3 separate regions of the Mus musculus genome follow, and all the other regions are reported to be linked to region 1. Evidence: microRNA targets listed by miRTarBase, many of them from high-throughput screens and not tested one by one. Region 1 holds a microRNA gene; each other region holds the end of a gene's coding sequence.
Evidence for each region. The annotated mature microRNA mmu-miR-223-3p reads UGUCAGUUUGUCAAAUACCCCA and lies in region 1 at 2,784-2,805, opposite strand. An mRNA with a match to its seed (bases 2 to 7 or 8) in the 3' UTR can be bound and repressed. Matches are read on the target gene's strand: a 7mer-m8 pairs with bases 2 to 8, a 7mer-A1 pairs with bases 2 to 7 and ends in A, and an 8mer does both.

Region 2: miRTarBase lists Ttc4 as a target of mmu-miR-223-3p. Seed matches in the 3' UTR shown: 7mer-m8 at 3,767-3,773.
Region 3: the mRNA of Slc33a1 is a reported target of mmu-miR-223-3p. The part of its 3' UTR that is shown has no 7-base or 8-base seed match.

What each region holds. Positions count from the first base shown.
Region 1 is chrX:96,240,616-96,245,688 of GRCm38, reverse strand. It overlaps Mir223 (microRNA 223), which reads right to left and starts at 2,872; the gene lies at 2,763-2,872. F630028O10Rik (RIKEN cDNA F630028O10 gene) reads right to left here. Exons shown (of 3, transcript NR_030718.1): 3 at 2,047-4,651.
Region 2 is chr4:106,658,545-106,663,617 of GRCm38, forward strand. Ttc4 (tetratricopeptide repeat domain 4) reads right to left here. Exons shown (of 10, transcript NM_028209.2): 10 at 3,264-4,687. The coding sequence ends at 4,591. Among named protein-coding and RNA genes, the nearest start is that of Pars2, 10 kb to the left of the region's middle.
Region 3 is chr3:63,938,824-63,943,896 of GRCm38, forward strand. It overlaps Slc33a1 (solute carrier family 33 (acetyl-CoA transporter), member 1), which reads right to left. Exons shown (of 6, transcript NM_015728.5): 6 at 3,500-4,593. The coding sequence ends at 4,426. Among named protein-coding and RNA genes, the nearest start is that of E130311K13Rik, 12 kb to the left of the region's middle.

The DNA of each region.
Region 1 (5,073 bases):
TATCATACTAACCTAGCCAGGCTTGCCTTTATTTCACTCTCTAAATTAGGTAGGCTTTGAACTTGCCACCTGCCTTAGTCTCCCAAGTAATTGGAATGATAGGCCTGTAACTCTAATCCAAGCTTTGGTTTTTGTTGTCTGTTTGTTTCTTGGTTTGTCTTTCACCTTCCAACTCATGCCACCTCCCTTCTCATAATATGGATAGCCCTATCTAAAGCAAATCAATTTTTGCTTAAATAGTATTCTACATAACATCCACTACCCAGTCCATCTTTCTATCTTCTCTACTTTGTGACTCTTCTCGGGGCAACAGGAAGATTGTCAAGAAGCCTCACATCTTTATCAACGTACTATGAATGTACAAATAAAGTAGTTTCTGTCTTTTCAAAGTCTGTGTATAATATCACTAAAATATCTGGACTAGTTGCATTGGTCATCTTTTCTCCTCAATTCTTTTTATAATGTGAAGAGACTTTTTTAAAATTTTATTAATATAGGTTGGTTTATTTGAGAAAGTGGTAAGATGGGTTTCAATGTTTTTTAAAGCTTTATGCATATAAATGGGAAGAGTAAGAGATTATTTCTTAATTGATGGAACGGGGTGGGGGGAATGAAGAAAAGTGTAGGGAACAGGAGGGTAGGGGAAAGGAAAGAAGGAACTCTATGTACTTTGGAATGAAACTCCCTTGTAAAGAAATTGTTTGGGGCCACGTTTGCATTGCTTCCTTTCCCCCCATTTATTTCATGTCGAATCAACTTCCTAAATTTTCATGGGAACTACCATGTTGCCTATGTAGTCTGCATATGCACAGGATCAGATCAGGTTTCAACAAGAGGTACTCCCACTTTGAAATGACTGCAAAAGTCAAAATAGTACACAAAAGTGATTGACAGTCTGCCCTATTTTACCCCCACTGATGCTGCCAAGTCTATGACCAAAATCTCAGCATTTTCTTCTTTGACAAATGCTAGCTATGCATAATTAGTGTCAGAGATGACTTCTTCTTCTCCATCTCACTTACCAGCCTCCACAACCTGGGTACCACCCAGTAGAAACCTCAGCTTCCTTCATGAAACATCTGTGAGTCCAGCCCTGAAAGCCTTGAAAACACCCTTTATCTCATTCTGCTCTTTAGAATTAATCCCTGGGCTTGAAGAGAGAATGTTTATTGAAATTGCCCTAGTAAAGTGAGCCACAAATTCAGGGAACCCCCAACACTGGAACCACCAGGAATGTCTCCTATTCTTGCATGTGAAAATGTTTACAGATTACTTATCTGAACATTCACATACCACAAATTGGGAAGTGAAGCCCAGAGAGAAATGAAGGTTTGTCAAAAGTAACATACATCAAGTCAATGGCAGAACAAAGACTGGAGGTTAGACCTGTGGATTTTTAGCAGTGTGTGTACTTTGCTGCAGACATCTTCTGAAGATGGTCTTTGTCCCTAAACAATGGTATTTTTCCATGCAGGGTAAGCCAGTAAGTCATCCCTAGATAGAGATGCATCCCTCCGACAATTCTGAGCAAAATTGGGGTAACAATATGGGTCTTGTTATTTAGGTCACTGGTTAGTGGGTGAAAAGTTAAAGAATGAAAGTAGGTATCTCCAGAACCAAGGGAGAGTATGGAATTTCTCCAGAACCAAGGGAGAGTATGGAATTTCTCTAAAGAAGCTTGCCAAAATATATGTTATGAAATGTTAGACTCTGGAGAGAGGGATTGGAGATGCTTCATTTTATAGTTCTATATTAGAAGTTCACCCCAGTGCAATGATAGAATATTAAAGGCTCAGAAAATTCTGTTTAAAAAGACACGTGTAAACCAATAATTCAAAAAATTTTTCCCTCTGAGTCTATTCTTTCTTCTTGCCCTCCTGCCCCAGACCTAAATCTTATTTCTCAGAGGAAAAAAAAATCCATTTTGGTTACCATCTTGTATACACTATAGCATTAGAATACCCACAGTTTGATTTATTTTTTTCGCAAAACCCTGGTTGGTATTTGACCTATATAGCAAAAGGTTATTGACTAGTAAAACATCAATTAATTGGTAAATATTTATTAATAATTAAAATGTTGGACAATGGTATGAGAGACAGCAATCAACTGAATATAATAAGCTCTAGATTCTTACAATATAATAGGGAATTCAAGAACATACCCTGGAAAAATTCACTGACAACTTTAGAAGATGTGTTGGATGGTAGGACATATAATAGCACATACCAGTATGTGGTTAGCCAAGGAGTAAAGAAAAGTATAGGTTAACTTTCAATAGTGCCAAGAGGAATTGGAATTTGGTAGTGTCTGAAAGCCCAATGAAGATAAACAAGAAGGTTCTTTTAAGAATGATAAAAGCAAAGTGGAAAAGAGAAAATGTAGGTAGCTTAAGATGTGCTCCGAAGGCCAGACAGTGGATATTTATTTCCTACTTTCTCATAGAATTCATGATGCTTGTATGAAAATTCTGCTATTCTGGCTGCAAGAAGAGGAAAGTGAAAGAAGACATTAATAATAAATCAAATAATACTCTCATTCCCTGTATCCCTCATGTACCACTATGCAGTCCATGGCATTTTCACAATGTACACAGATGCATACCAGACTTGTAGACCCCAGAGCTGCATCGTTCCTACTCTGATGTTCTCTGAATAAATGTTATAGTTCCCTTAAAGACATAGAATAACACCAGAGAGCTTCATGTTTCATAAGCATTCATATGTAGGCAGCAGGCTATGTGCTCTGTCCTGGACCTGGAGCTGATAGGCATGAGCCACACTTGGGGTATTTGACAAACTGACACTCTACCACACAGAGTGTCCAACTCAGCTTGTCAAATACACGGAGCGTGACACTGCAGATGGCCAGATCAGGAACCTCCACTGGGCAGCAAGAACATGCTGGAAGATGTGCAACTGGAAAGAGAAAAAAATAGGGTGATTATATCTTACCCTAAGTGTGAGACAAATGGCAGACACTAACATGACTGACTAAGACACACCAAAAGAGGGAAGTGAACAAAACACGCTAATGCTCCAAACAAAAACGGGGATCCTGGGTGTTTGTCTGGAGATTCTGGTGGCCCAAGCCTCAATTAACTCTTCTATTCAGCTGAAACAGGAAAAAATTGTCATCATTCTGTCCTCGGGGACAATTTATGTGTTCCTTCCTCCTATCAACTTCTTGTATGCTCTGTTTACCCTGGTTATGTACCTAGATGTTGATTTTTAAAACTGGATTTGAATTCTACCTCTACCATTAACTAGCTGAACACCTTAAATAAATGAGTTTATGTCCCTGAAACCTACTTCTTCCATAGCCACAAAAATGCCCATGAAATCATGGCAAGAATATGTAATAATGCATATAAAGCCATTAATTTAGTGTTTGTTACCTAACAAATACTCAAAAATTGTGGCTATAGCCAGGTATGATAGTACATGTGTGCATACAAGCTTTCATAGACAGAGATAGGAGAACCTCAGATTTAAAGTCAATTTGGGCTATATAATACTACCCTTTCTCAAACAAAAAAGTAAACAATCAAGATCTAGAGATAAAACTCAGTAGCAGAACACTTACCTAACTTGTACAATACTCTGTATTTGATCCCCTGTACATAAATAAAAGTGACTAAAATGTGCTTTAAAATTAAACATATAAGATAGATACTAACAGGGGAAAAGATAGATAATTTATTTAACAGAATTGAAACAGTAATTTCTTGTGGCCTTAGCCGGCTTTGTCTAACTTGGTTGCCTTTTCTCATAAGCAGTAAAGAATTAATGATATTAAAATGCCCTTATAAGTCATCTAGTTTTACCCATTCAAGATTATAAATGAGAAAATGAAGTCTGATGTTTAGGGAAAGACTTCCAAAAGGTCATAAAACAAGTTGTTTACAGTTTGGGAATTATATCATCCATCAGCTCATTGTGTCCCTTGGCTGTCCACCCCACCACTTTTTCTTGTCTGCTTTTTATATTCCCTTGCAAAAGGGAGAGCAACAGCAACAAAGAGCAAAACAGGCAGTGGATTTTGCAGGGAAGTATTAAGATGTTTGAACTCATAGCTACCAGGGCAGCTGCCAGAAGAGCCAAGCCATCTCAATTTATTTGATATTTTGTTTAGCATCATGATCCTGTTATTCAAAATGCTTGATAGTATCAAATTTTGTCCTACCCAGGTTTAAAGTTTTCTTGGGCATCAATTGTCTTCTCTAGAAATAGAGACAGAAATCTTACATCTCAAGGTCTTGAAAAATGTTGGATGAGACTTCTAGAGCTTTTTAGAAGGGAGCTTAAAGAGACCTTATTTCCAACTCTGGAGCTAGTAAAAGCCAAGGAAAGTGATTAAAAGAGAAAGGAGTAATGGGTTATTGGTTTTGGTTTTCTTGACAGCATCTCTGCTTATCATCTGCTGTAAGGAGAGCTAGACACTTTAGAGATATCCATAGCCTCTCAATTGCCCTATCCGACCTCACATAACCCAAGAACACTGGAAAAGAGCCATGAAAGGGGCTAAAGAGTTCTAGTGCACTGACTTAATAGATTATTATAAATACTGTTTTCCAGGATTGATGGAGAAGTCAGTCCTTAAGCTGGGTAAGGGACTATTTCATTTTCATTCTTGATGTTCCAGTTCACACCTATTCAGAGGAATACATATAAGAGAAGCAAGTTTAGTTGATTAAAGTTAGTCAGACCCATAAGAATGAAGACATAGATGACTACATAGTCAGTCTTCATGACGCAAATTGAAAGGCATAAGCTTGGTAAAAGAGGTATAAGATTTTACCAAAAATCTATAAATGTCCAGAATAAGCCACATATCAGAAAATATATTTGGTGATAAAGAAGTACTCAGGACCATGTCTTAATATCCAGATTTTTTTCAATATAAGGAGAGTCACCTGCCTCAGTTGCAGGATACCCATTATTTCTTGGTATCTCAGTCCTCCTAAAGCAGAAGAAAAAGGACACTGTCCTGGGCTTAGACTGAGTTGTAGTACAGGTTTTCTGTGTGGCCTTGGGAAACTACCTTTTCTTCTCTCAGGACCTCTGTTCCTCA
Region 2 (5,073 bases), not on the chromosome of region 1:
TTTAAGGCTCTGTAAGGCAGGAGGACAACTCTGGCTCACAGCGCTTCACTGACTATTGTAAAATGGCCCGTGGAAGGGATCTTCAGGGTTTGCAAGCTATAAAGAGAGGATGTATGTGTGATCTCTCATTACACAGTGAATACAGATACAGAAATGCCACACTACATTCTCTAAGAATACCCAATTACTATGTGCCCGTTTAAATTTTTAAAATATTTTTAGCAAATACTATATACCTTAGAAAAGAATTATCTGGATGTTTACAGTCTAATCACACACTAAAAGCAGAGAATTTTCACTGGCTGGAATCAGATGTGGCAAGGGAATCTCAGGACTTAGAACATGATATGCCATTGGGCTCTTACTTACAGAGACCCAGGAACCAGAAGAGCCTCTCCCCACCTCCGAGCTAAATACAGCCCCACTGAGGACCAGTAAGGCAAGGGGACTTCAGTTCTCAACCTCGGTGAACTGTATTCTCCCAATGCCTAAACAAGCCTGGAAGCAGGTTCTTAGAACCCCTAGGAAGAGCCCAGAAGGCCAACATCTGTACCTCAGCCTTGTAAATCCTAGAGCAGAGATAACAGCTGAGCCAAATTACATTTGTGGCCATAGGACTGTGAGGTAATATGTCTGTACTGCTAACGGAGAAGACAGAATGGAAGAAAAAAATGAAAGAGAAAAACTCAGTGGGAGCCCCGCTGACAGAGGTTGCAGGCTCTGGCTGGGGCAGAGCACATTCCCCTAGCCAAGCAGGCTGGGATGCTGCTGCTGAACGGAGTAATAACTACCAGGACTATACCATAAGCTTAGACTGAGTGATGCAAAGGCCCCTGTGCCCGAGAGGCCAGACTAGTCTTGGCAGTCCTGCTGTCTCTGAATGGGTCAGTTCAGTCTTGAGTTCAAGTCCTGCTCCACTTTTTATTGGCAGGTTGTTTAGACTCTCCATGCCATCTTTATACATTGCTTGTTGCCTAGATGTGTGGGAGGTTTGGGGAGCCAGTTGGCACCAAGCACCTAGAATGCTGCTGGCCTGGCTGGGTGCTCAGTAGGTGGCTGCTTTCTCCAGGCAGCAGTAGTTGCTGTCGCAGCATCCTCCCTCCAGGGTCTGTGGCTTTGCTCGGACTGTCCACCTCACTCCTTCACCTTTATAGCCCAAGTCTCCCATAGGTGCTGGCTTCAACCTCTGACCTGTCACAATGAGTCACCCTTTTCCTGAATTCCCAAGCCTATGACTGCTTGTGGTTCATTGAGATGCTGAGCAGGTGCAGTGCCAGGCCTGACACATATAAAAGTGCAGCTTGGGCCCTAGATGCAGTCCACAAAGTCGGATGACCCAGCCGGTAAGTTAGTGCTGTGCCATGTGCTAAGGGCAGTGATGGTGATGGTGCACAGCCACAGAGTAAAGACCTAAGCAGCCAGGGAGGCCTGCCTGGAGGAGGCAGTAGGACAGCAGCAGGCTGGGCACTAGAGAGGAAAAAGGAACAGTGTGTCAATGTCTGAGGCTGAGAGTGGGAAGGCTGGGGGATCAACAGTCACAGATCAAATCCGTGCTATAAGTTGTGTTCCATGGGTTTCACTAGGTTAACGTGTTCCATCCTCAGAGTACCTGCCCGTGTAGCAGATAAGGAAGAAGAACAGACAAGTCAGGCCAAGCGGTACCCAACGCCTACCAATGGGGAGCGTGGGACTGGAACTAGAAGGCAGCCTAGCTCAGAGGAGCAGACTCCTGGTTACCACACCACCTGCTATGTAACTAACTATGACCGGGACAGACAGGCTTTGGAGACAGCAGGAAAGCAGCAAGATGTCCGGTGGTGAGAGCCTTGCATGCCACACCAGGCGTGCTGAGGGAGTGGAGGCCTCAGGGCTCCGGCTAAGGATGAGAACATGCTTGCTTGTTGTGTCTGTTTCTCCCCCTTGGAGCAGTTGCCAGCCCAGGGTCAGATTCACTACATCCACTGAGCAGTATGACCCTAAGTCAGAGGCTGCATGTAGTTCTTCAGCCCTAAGTCCACTGTGGGCACGGGACAGATGCTTGTAAGGCATGGAAACACAAGGATGCAGGGAAGGCTTGAGTCTCCCGCTCTATTTCCCAGTCTATGGGTGCTGGGGAGGGGACGTGTGGTTCCGATCTGGGCTCTGACACTGCTTCTTCTCCATCCTGATGCCACAGGCCAGATCTGGGGTGACTATAAGGATTAAGTAAGAGAACTCAGTGAAGTTGGTAGTATCAGAATGCAGCATTTGGCCTACTTTGTGTGCCTGCTGACGGTGATTAGGGGCTTTGTCCCTCTCATCTCTAGTTGTCACCCACATCCTCAGAGGCAACCAGACATACACCAGGCATCCTTCCTCCACCCTGGTTCTGGGAAGGCAGCAAGCCCTGAGGGCTCTGCCAGGAAGAGTCCCAGGAACAACTGAGAAAGGCTCAGATTTGGGAACATGTACCGTTCCCTGCATTCCACCTCCTCTGGAGGGCGTCCATCCCCGTAACTCTCCCCCTCCACATAACAAGAAAACAAAAACAAAACAGGCAGGGAAGGCTTGAGTCTCCCGCTCTATTTCCCAGTCTATGGGTATGGTGGCCAAAGGGGAACCAGGTAGAATCTGGCCCACATCTTGCTCAGGAAGCAGGCTCTTCACAGATTTCCACCACACTCTTCAGAGTGTACAGAAACTTTGTTTCCAAAAAATTGTTTTTTTCTTTCTGGTTTAGTGAACATCTCTCCATGTCTATCACTGGCAATTTGGGCTAGATCATCATTCTCTTTGTGGCATGCATCATAGGAAATTAAAAGGTATGTCTGGTCTGGTCTCAACCTTCCTAATGCCAGCAGCACACACCAGGTTATGATGTCATCTGAATGATGTCATGCAGAATCACCCACTTGTGAATCTACCAGACTGTGAAACAGTGCTTTTGAAGAGAGCTGTTCACTGAGGACATACCACTCCTGGGCTGAGACCTCACATGCACGGGCTACAAGCAATGTCAAGGAAAGATGATCATTTTACAGTTGACAGGAGCTTTAAGCAGCAGACCTGGCTCAAGCCTACCAATGGAGCTCTTGGTGCATGCTCTCCCTGAGGTAGTCTGAATGAGAATGGTCACCACAGACTCAGATATTTCAGTGTTTAGTCTGCAGGTGATAGAACTGTTTGGGAAGGATTAGGAGGTGATGGCCTTGTTGGAGGAAGTGTGTTGTCTTAGTTAGGGTTTTACTGCTGTGAACAGACACCATGACCAAGGCAACTCCTATAAGGACAAAATTTAATTGGCTGGCTTACAGGTTCAGTCCATTAACGTCAAGGCAGGAACATGGCAGCATCCAGGCAAGCATGGTGCACGCAGAGCTGAGAGTTCTACATCTTCATTTGAAGGTTGCTAGTGGAAGACTGACTTCCACGCAGCTAGGATGAGGGTCTTAAGACCACACCCACAGAACAGAGACACTTTTAGGCCCCTCACATAGACTTTGAGTTCTTAAAAAGGAAGTCAGAGGAAAGTCTCTGACTGAGGAGAGAATGTCTGCAGTATTTCCAAAACGTGTGTGTGTGTGTGTGTGTGTGTGTGTGTGTGTGTGTGTGTGTTGGGGGTAGGGTTTAGTGGATTTACAGGGACCTGCTCTGGTAAAGAAAGCTGCACTTGTCTCCCTAAATATTTCAAACAATTTCTCTTCAAGAAACAAGGACACAAACAACACAAGATCTCATATTAGCCCATCTGAAGGCCACCAGCTGGTTTCAGTTTAATAATGTATTAGTCAGTTTTCCTATATTGACGAACAATCCCCCAAATCTCAAGTGTTTACTACAAACACATTTGCCACTCATGTAACAAACAATGGCTTTAGGCCAGCTGCTGTGGGCTTTGCTCAGACACCAGGACTACTCCTATTTCAGAAATGAGACCTCACAATAAAGGGAAAACAACACAAGCCTACTTGCAAACCACTGCCCATTGACTCCTCAAGCTTCTGTCAGATGTGGCACAAGCCCTTGCATGGGCATTGAGAAGTAGAGAATCCAGTAGGGCTCTGAGTAGTCCCAGGATCCAAGTTTATACAGTCAACAGAACAGGATGTGGCTTCATGGCTGCAGTCACTTCATGGCATCCACAGCATCTTAGCTTTCCTCCAGGCTGGTGAAGCAACTGAGCCAGTCTTTCAAGCCTTAAGGCCTTAGAGTATGTGCAGGGCTGGTTTATTGCCTTGGAGTTGTGCCTTCTGTATGTGCCCGATGCCACAAAGGTTAAGACTGTCACTGCATCCTGCGACAGTCTCTGGGCTAGGGAGTTACCAAGGCCAGCTATTCTGGTAACTGCAGTGGATGATTTTTTCAGAGATGGACTCCAAAGATGTACTGGCCAGGGCAGGGCTGTGAATCTGAGGAGAGTGCGGCCCAGCTGGAGCCCAGCACTCAGCCAGACAGGCTTAGGTTCAGGGGGTCCTGCAGCTTCTTCCCCAACAAGAGGCTGGGAACCACTGTCCCTGAGGATAGAGTGCTACACTCTAGGCCAGATGATTCCCGTGTACAAAGTCCAGCAGAGGAAGTTGAGGGAAGAGACCCCAGGGTCTGGCTCCCATGTTACCTGTGCACCTTCTTCCCCTGGAGGTAATTCCTACAGAAAGGCGAGGATCCTACACAGACCAGGAATGCCGGGGTAAGGGCCTTCACGCAGCACCTGCAGGGAGCACAGCAGAGTGCTTAACTGCATTATAAGCGCCATTATCCCTGGACCTTCCCAGCCACACTCCAGGTGAACCTCGGATGTACACAAACGTTAAAGTACAACTTAGCACATTTGTTTGTCTGAATATTCCTAAGTCTGCAGACAGCATGACGGCAGTCTCCCCTTAAAACTCTGGCATCAGGCACACATAGGGCTAAACATGAAAGAAGACCACAAAACAAGCTATCAGTTCGTTCCATATTCTGGGAGTGACTAGTGTAAAGCAGGCTCTTACTGACTTGCGGTTACAGTCTGTATCCCAACAAGCCAGGTTTGCCCACCCGTTCCCACTGCGGTCACACTGAATAAATCTCTCGCCTTTAAAAAACAACCAAACC
Region 3 (5,073 bases), not on the chromosome of region 1:
CAGGGACAGATTCATTGGTTCACCACGGCCAACTCTCACCTGCAGGTAATCAATAAGAGCCATACCAATCTGTCAGAGTGATAAAAACCTACATATATTGGACTTTGGATAATAGGTAAAGAGTCCCAAAATATGAATCTGGGGTTATATTTGGCAGCTGTATAGAAGCCCTAACCTCTTCCAAAGAGAGGAAAAGAAATCTTCGTTCTTAGTTGAAAACAGATTATCCTAGGGTGCCAAGTCCTGCTTGGTCATGTGTAAGTGATGGCATGACATGGTTCCTGGCCCTGGAACAGAGCCAACAGGGTGTGGGCCCCCTCAAGTGTGGATAGCTACTGTGGGTTAAAGGCTTGTTTGTATAACAGTGTACATATTTTCACATTTCTCCTTTGAGGAATGTCCTCTCTTTCGATATTAATGACTCCATGATAATCAGAGACAGCATGGGTCCAGGAGGCAAGGGCATGTCTATATCTCAGCAAAATGGTTGAATGCTGTGACCATTAGGGCAGCCTTTAAGGGTGTGGGAAAGAATGCTGAAAACATGAGTTTGAAAATACATACATTCTCAACTATGCAAAATGTAAGGATGTAATATAAATTAAATAAGGAGTTTCACAGATCTAAAGGAACAGAGGCAGCTGCACTGTGAGCCAACTTGTCAAAAGGATACTAAGTGTGGGAGATAAAGAGATTTAGGGAATGGTGATTGCAAGGCAATATTCCACTGTGGGTCTGCATTTCCACCTTGCCACTGCGGTGTTGAACCACTTGCTGACACACTGCTCAGGGTAGGCAAAATGTAGTCTAAGATAGGGGTCCCAGCCCATGATCTTCCAGGTGAAAACAAGCAGGGGGCTGGAATAGAGGAGGTTCTCATGTTCCTGAGCACCCAGAAGCCACTGAGAAACATGAAGAGTTGAGAATCTCTTCCCCCCACCCCACCCCACCCCACTCCAGTCCCCTAGCAGTTCCTGATAAAGACAACAGGATTTGCTTGTCCAAAGTACCTTTATTCATGGCAGATGAAGATGTATAAGACTTACTCGGGGTGAAACAGAGATTAAATGCTCTTTGCAGGAAGGAATATTCAGGAAGAGAGTTCAGTAGGTAAACACTTGGCTCCCTTCTAGATACCTCATTAGCATGAAGAACCCTAAGTTCTATGCTACCTGACCAGTTGTCATGGTCTTCTTAATGGGGTATCATGGCCTCGTACTCCAGGACAGGAAATCTGGTTGGGAGCTAGTTTGATCTCCTACTGTTCTCAATTATAAATTTTGTCATGGTCCTAAACTTTGCTACTACCTTACCAGTTCTGTCTGGTGGTTCAATCCACTGGGCCACATCCCACCTAGCTAATTTATTTTATGGTAACAAAGGCAGGTGGACTGTGCAAGTCACAAGTGTAAGGTCAGTCTGGGATAGAGCTAATTTAGGTCCAGGCATAGTTTGATGGCAATTTCAGGGCAGGGTCGGGAGGGGTCCCACTCAGCTAACTTATGTCTGTTCTTCTTTGCTGTCTCTAAGAATCAAGGGGCTGGGGACCTAGAATACTGACTCAGGGGGTAATAAAAAAAGAACATGGATAATAATTGAATTAATACATAAAAGACTGGGCTTTTGATTTATAAGAGATGAGCTAACAAGAGAGTTTTTAGAATTTCAAAAAAGCCTGAGCAGAGAGCTTTCTGGATATTTATACACACACACACACACACACACACACACATTTAGAGAGAGAAAGAGAGAGAGAGAGAGAGAGAGAGAGAGAAAGAGAGAGAGAGAGAGAGAGAGAGAGAGAGAGAGAGAGAGAGAGAGAGAGAAACCACAAGCAGAACACAGAGGGCAATCCAGAAAACTATCTCCAGCAGAACACAGGCTGTCAGCTTGGACCCACATTTTGACTTCAGGTCATTTGTTTTGCCTCTCTCAAACACCCCTTCTCTCAGAACCACTCTCCAAGACAGGCTGGTCCTTGGCACTATGGGAGGCTTTTGGGCTTTAAAATATTTGTTTCTAGAAAGTAGACAAAATTCTATTTCATCAGATTTGCAAAATCAAGATGCCTCCATGGCACCAGGTGCCATCTTCCTTTGAAATGTTTATATACAATAAATCCTCTTTGGGACTGAGTTGAGTGTCCTGTCAAAATCTGAAAAAAACTGAAGTCCTAACCGTCATTATCACTGCATTTAGAAATAGGGCTTTTAAGAAGCTAAGTTTAAGGGGGTAGGGAGAATAAGGATAAGCCTTGACCACTCAGAACCAATCCAAGAGGAAGAAAAACCAGGATTACTGCATATAGTGGAAGAAGGCTGTGTGGAGACACATTGGGAGAGTGACTCTCAACTACTCTCAACTAAAGACCTCAGGAGAAACTTCTGCCAATACATTAATCTTGGATTTTCAGCCTCTGGAATGAAAGTAAACAAATTTCTCTCAAGCTACCCAGTGTTGGTACTTTGTTATGAATCCTATTGTAGTGTGAATCTGGAATATCTCTTTTAGGCTGTTCTTGTGTTGGCCCCCTGCTTGTGGTGCTATTTTGCATGCCACAGAAGCTTTAAGAGGTAAAATGTGGCTGGTCAAAATGAGTCACTAAGACCTGAGAGTTTTCCTGTTCCTGGTACTGACCCATCATGAACTTTCTCCTTCCTGTCTTCTGTCTTCTCAACAAGGAACTATGGTTCCTAAAGCAAGGCTCAGACATCCTGCCATGTATCCCAACTGTGATGGACTAATATTTTTTCAAAACAGCAAAGCAAAAAACTCTCTCCTCCCTTGGACTCTTGCCAGGAAATGTGTCACAGTGATGGCAGAAGCAACACCTCACCTCCCTAGTGATTTACACAATCTGCCCAGTTTCTCACATTTCCTGAGTCATCCAGCTTCCCAGGCCTCTCCTTCAGCACAGGTTCTACTATGCCGAAAGCCTGCCTTTCCTTCCTGAGTGCTGGGACTAAAACATACCACCGTGCCCAGCTCACCTCCTTGTTTTCCTTTTGAGACAAGATGGTATATAGCCCATATATTCACCATACATTTTGATGAAATTCATAGAGACATTTTATTAAAAAAATGTCTGGATTAGTGATGTGCACTTTTAATCTCAGCACACAAAGTTAGGTGAGTGTGAGTTTGAGACCAGTCTGGTTTACAGAGTGTTCCAGGAAAGTCAGAGCTGTACAGTTAAGCCCTGTCTCAAAGCCTTGATAGCATGTAGAGGATATAGCATGCTGGAAACTGCTGTTGTACTTGCTTCTAATTCTCCCAGTCTAGCAAGTCTCAACTGAGCCTTATTCTTTACAGATGAAAGCCTGTGTTTTAAGAAACAGGAATATTGTTCGTGATTTGGCATAAAGTAATTATAAGAATTTTTTACTAATAAAATGCTTAGTTAAGATTAAGGAAAAAAATTAAGAAATAATCTCCCACAGAGTGATTTAATTTGTTAAAGGCAAACACACACACAAATCTCTCTTTTTAAAAAAACAGCTTTGAGATTTATAGTGTTACTCATTTAAATTTTATTTAATTATAAGTTTACATTTTCTTCTCATGGTAATTAAAAAAAACTACAGTAAGAATGACATTAAATTTTTATTTTTACAACTCAGTCATAATCACAAACACACCACAAACTTGATCCCCTCATTAGTTGTCTGTGTGTCATGATGTATTTGTGACAAAATCATATGTAAACCTAGGGCAAGAGTTAACAAGAAATCAAAATAGCTTCCCCCAAAGGGAGGGAGAGATAGGGAAATCAATAAATTAAAAACCATAGCTCTCATTTTATAAAAAAATAGTTTGGATAATCTTTTTATAAATCTTTCATGCTTACAAAAGCAGAAAGTACATTTAAAATAGTTATTTTTAACAGATTCATTTGTACAATGTGGTTATAGTCAGAAAAACAACTCAATGTTTTAGTAGTCTACATTTTCTTTCAATCAAATTTCACATACATTTTTACAAATTTACAATTCAAAGTGAGAATTAACTTCCAATAAGGTTAATCTAGTTAGTGAGTACCTGCATATTAAGCTTTGCTCCACTTGATACATTGTACCAACATGTTAAATACGACTCAATGACAGGCACTAACAATACTTGGCAGCATGGTGACCACCCATGACTATTCCACTGCAGCTTAAAATATGCTTTGGTCAGTAAATTAACAGAAATCAAGTAATAAAACCAAAAGGGTTGTTTCCTAGCCTTAAGTAAACTTTCAATACATTGATAAGGCAAAGGAAAATATAATCAAACATACAAATACATCTGTACTTTTCAACTATTTGGCATTTTAAATTAAAAATTTCCTAAAACGGTATTTTACACTCCTACACACTGATTATCATTGCTTTCTTGGTAACACTAAGCTACAGTTACCTTCTAGAATGTCCAGTAATGTTGGCATCAGTTGTTCCTTTTGCACTTCCATGAGGATGGTCCTTCATCCTGTAACTTTTTAAATTTTGGACCAAGAAAGAACCACCAACCAAATCCAATGAGAACACAGATAATGGATTCCACATAGTAACCATCCAGAGCTGTAACACACGAGCCTCCAAGTTTTTTGCAAAGCTATAAAAACAAAATTATAACAAACATTCTATAACTTTTTTTTTTCTTATTGCTTGCTTTATAGAGACAGGGTCTCAGATGGCCTAAGCTAGCTTCAAACGATGTACCTAAGGATAACCGTGAACTTCTGAATCTCTCCTTCCACCTCTCAAGTGATGGGATTATAGGCATGCATCACAAAGCTTGATTGTAGGTGTGCATCCCAGAGCTCTGTGTGTGCTAGGTGAGCATTACACCAACTGAGCTATATTCAGGGCCCATATTCTGTGATTTTTTTTAAAATATGGAAACATTCAATAATTAATGTTTCTATTTTGTAATTAAAGAGATTAATCAAGTACATTTTGAGAAAATATTTCAATACTTCATTTATTGTAAATGGTAAGATAAATTGAAGTCTTATTTCCTTATTTTTGGACAAGGTCTTAGTACGTGGCTCACGCTTTTCTGTAATACAGACTGGCCTCATATTCACAATTC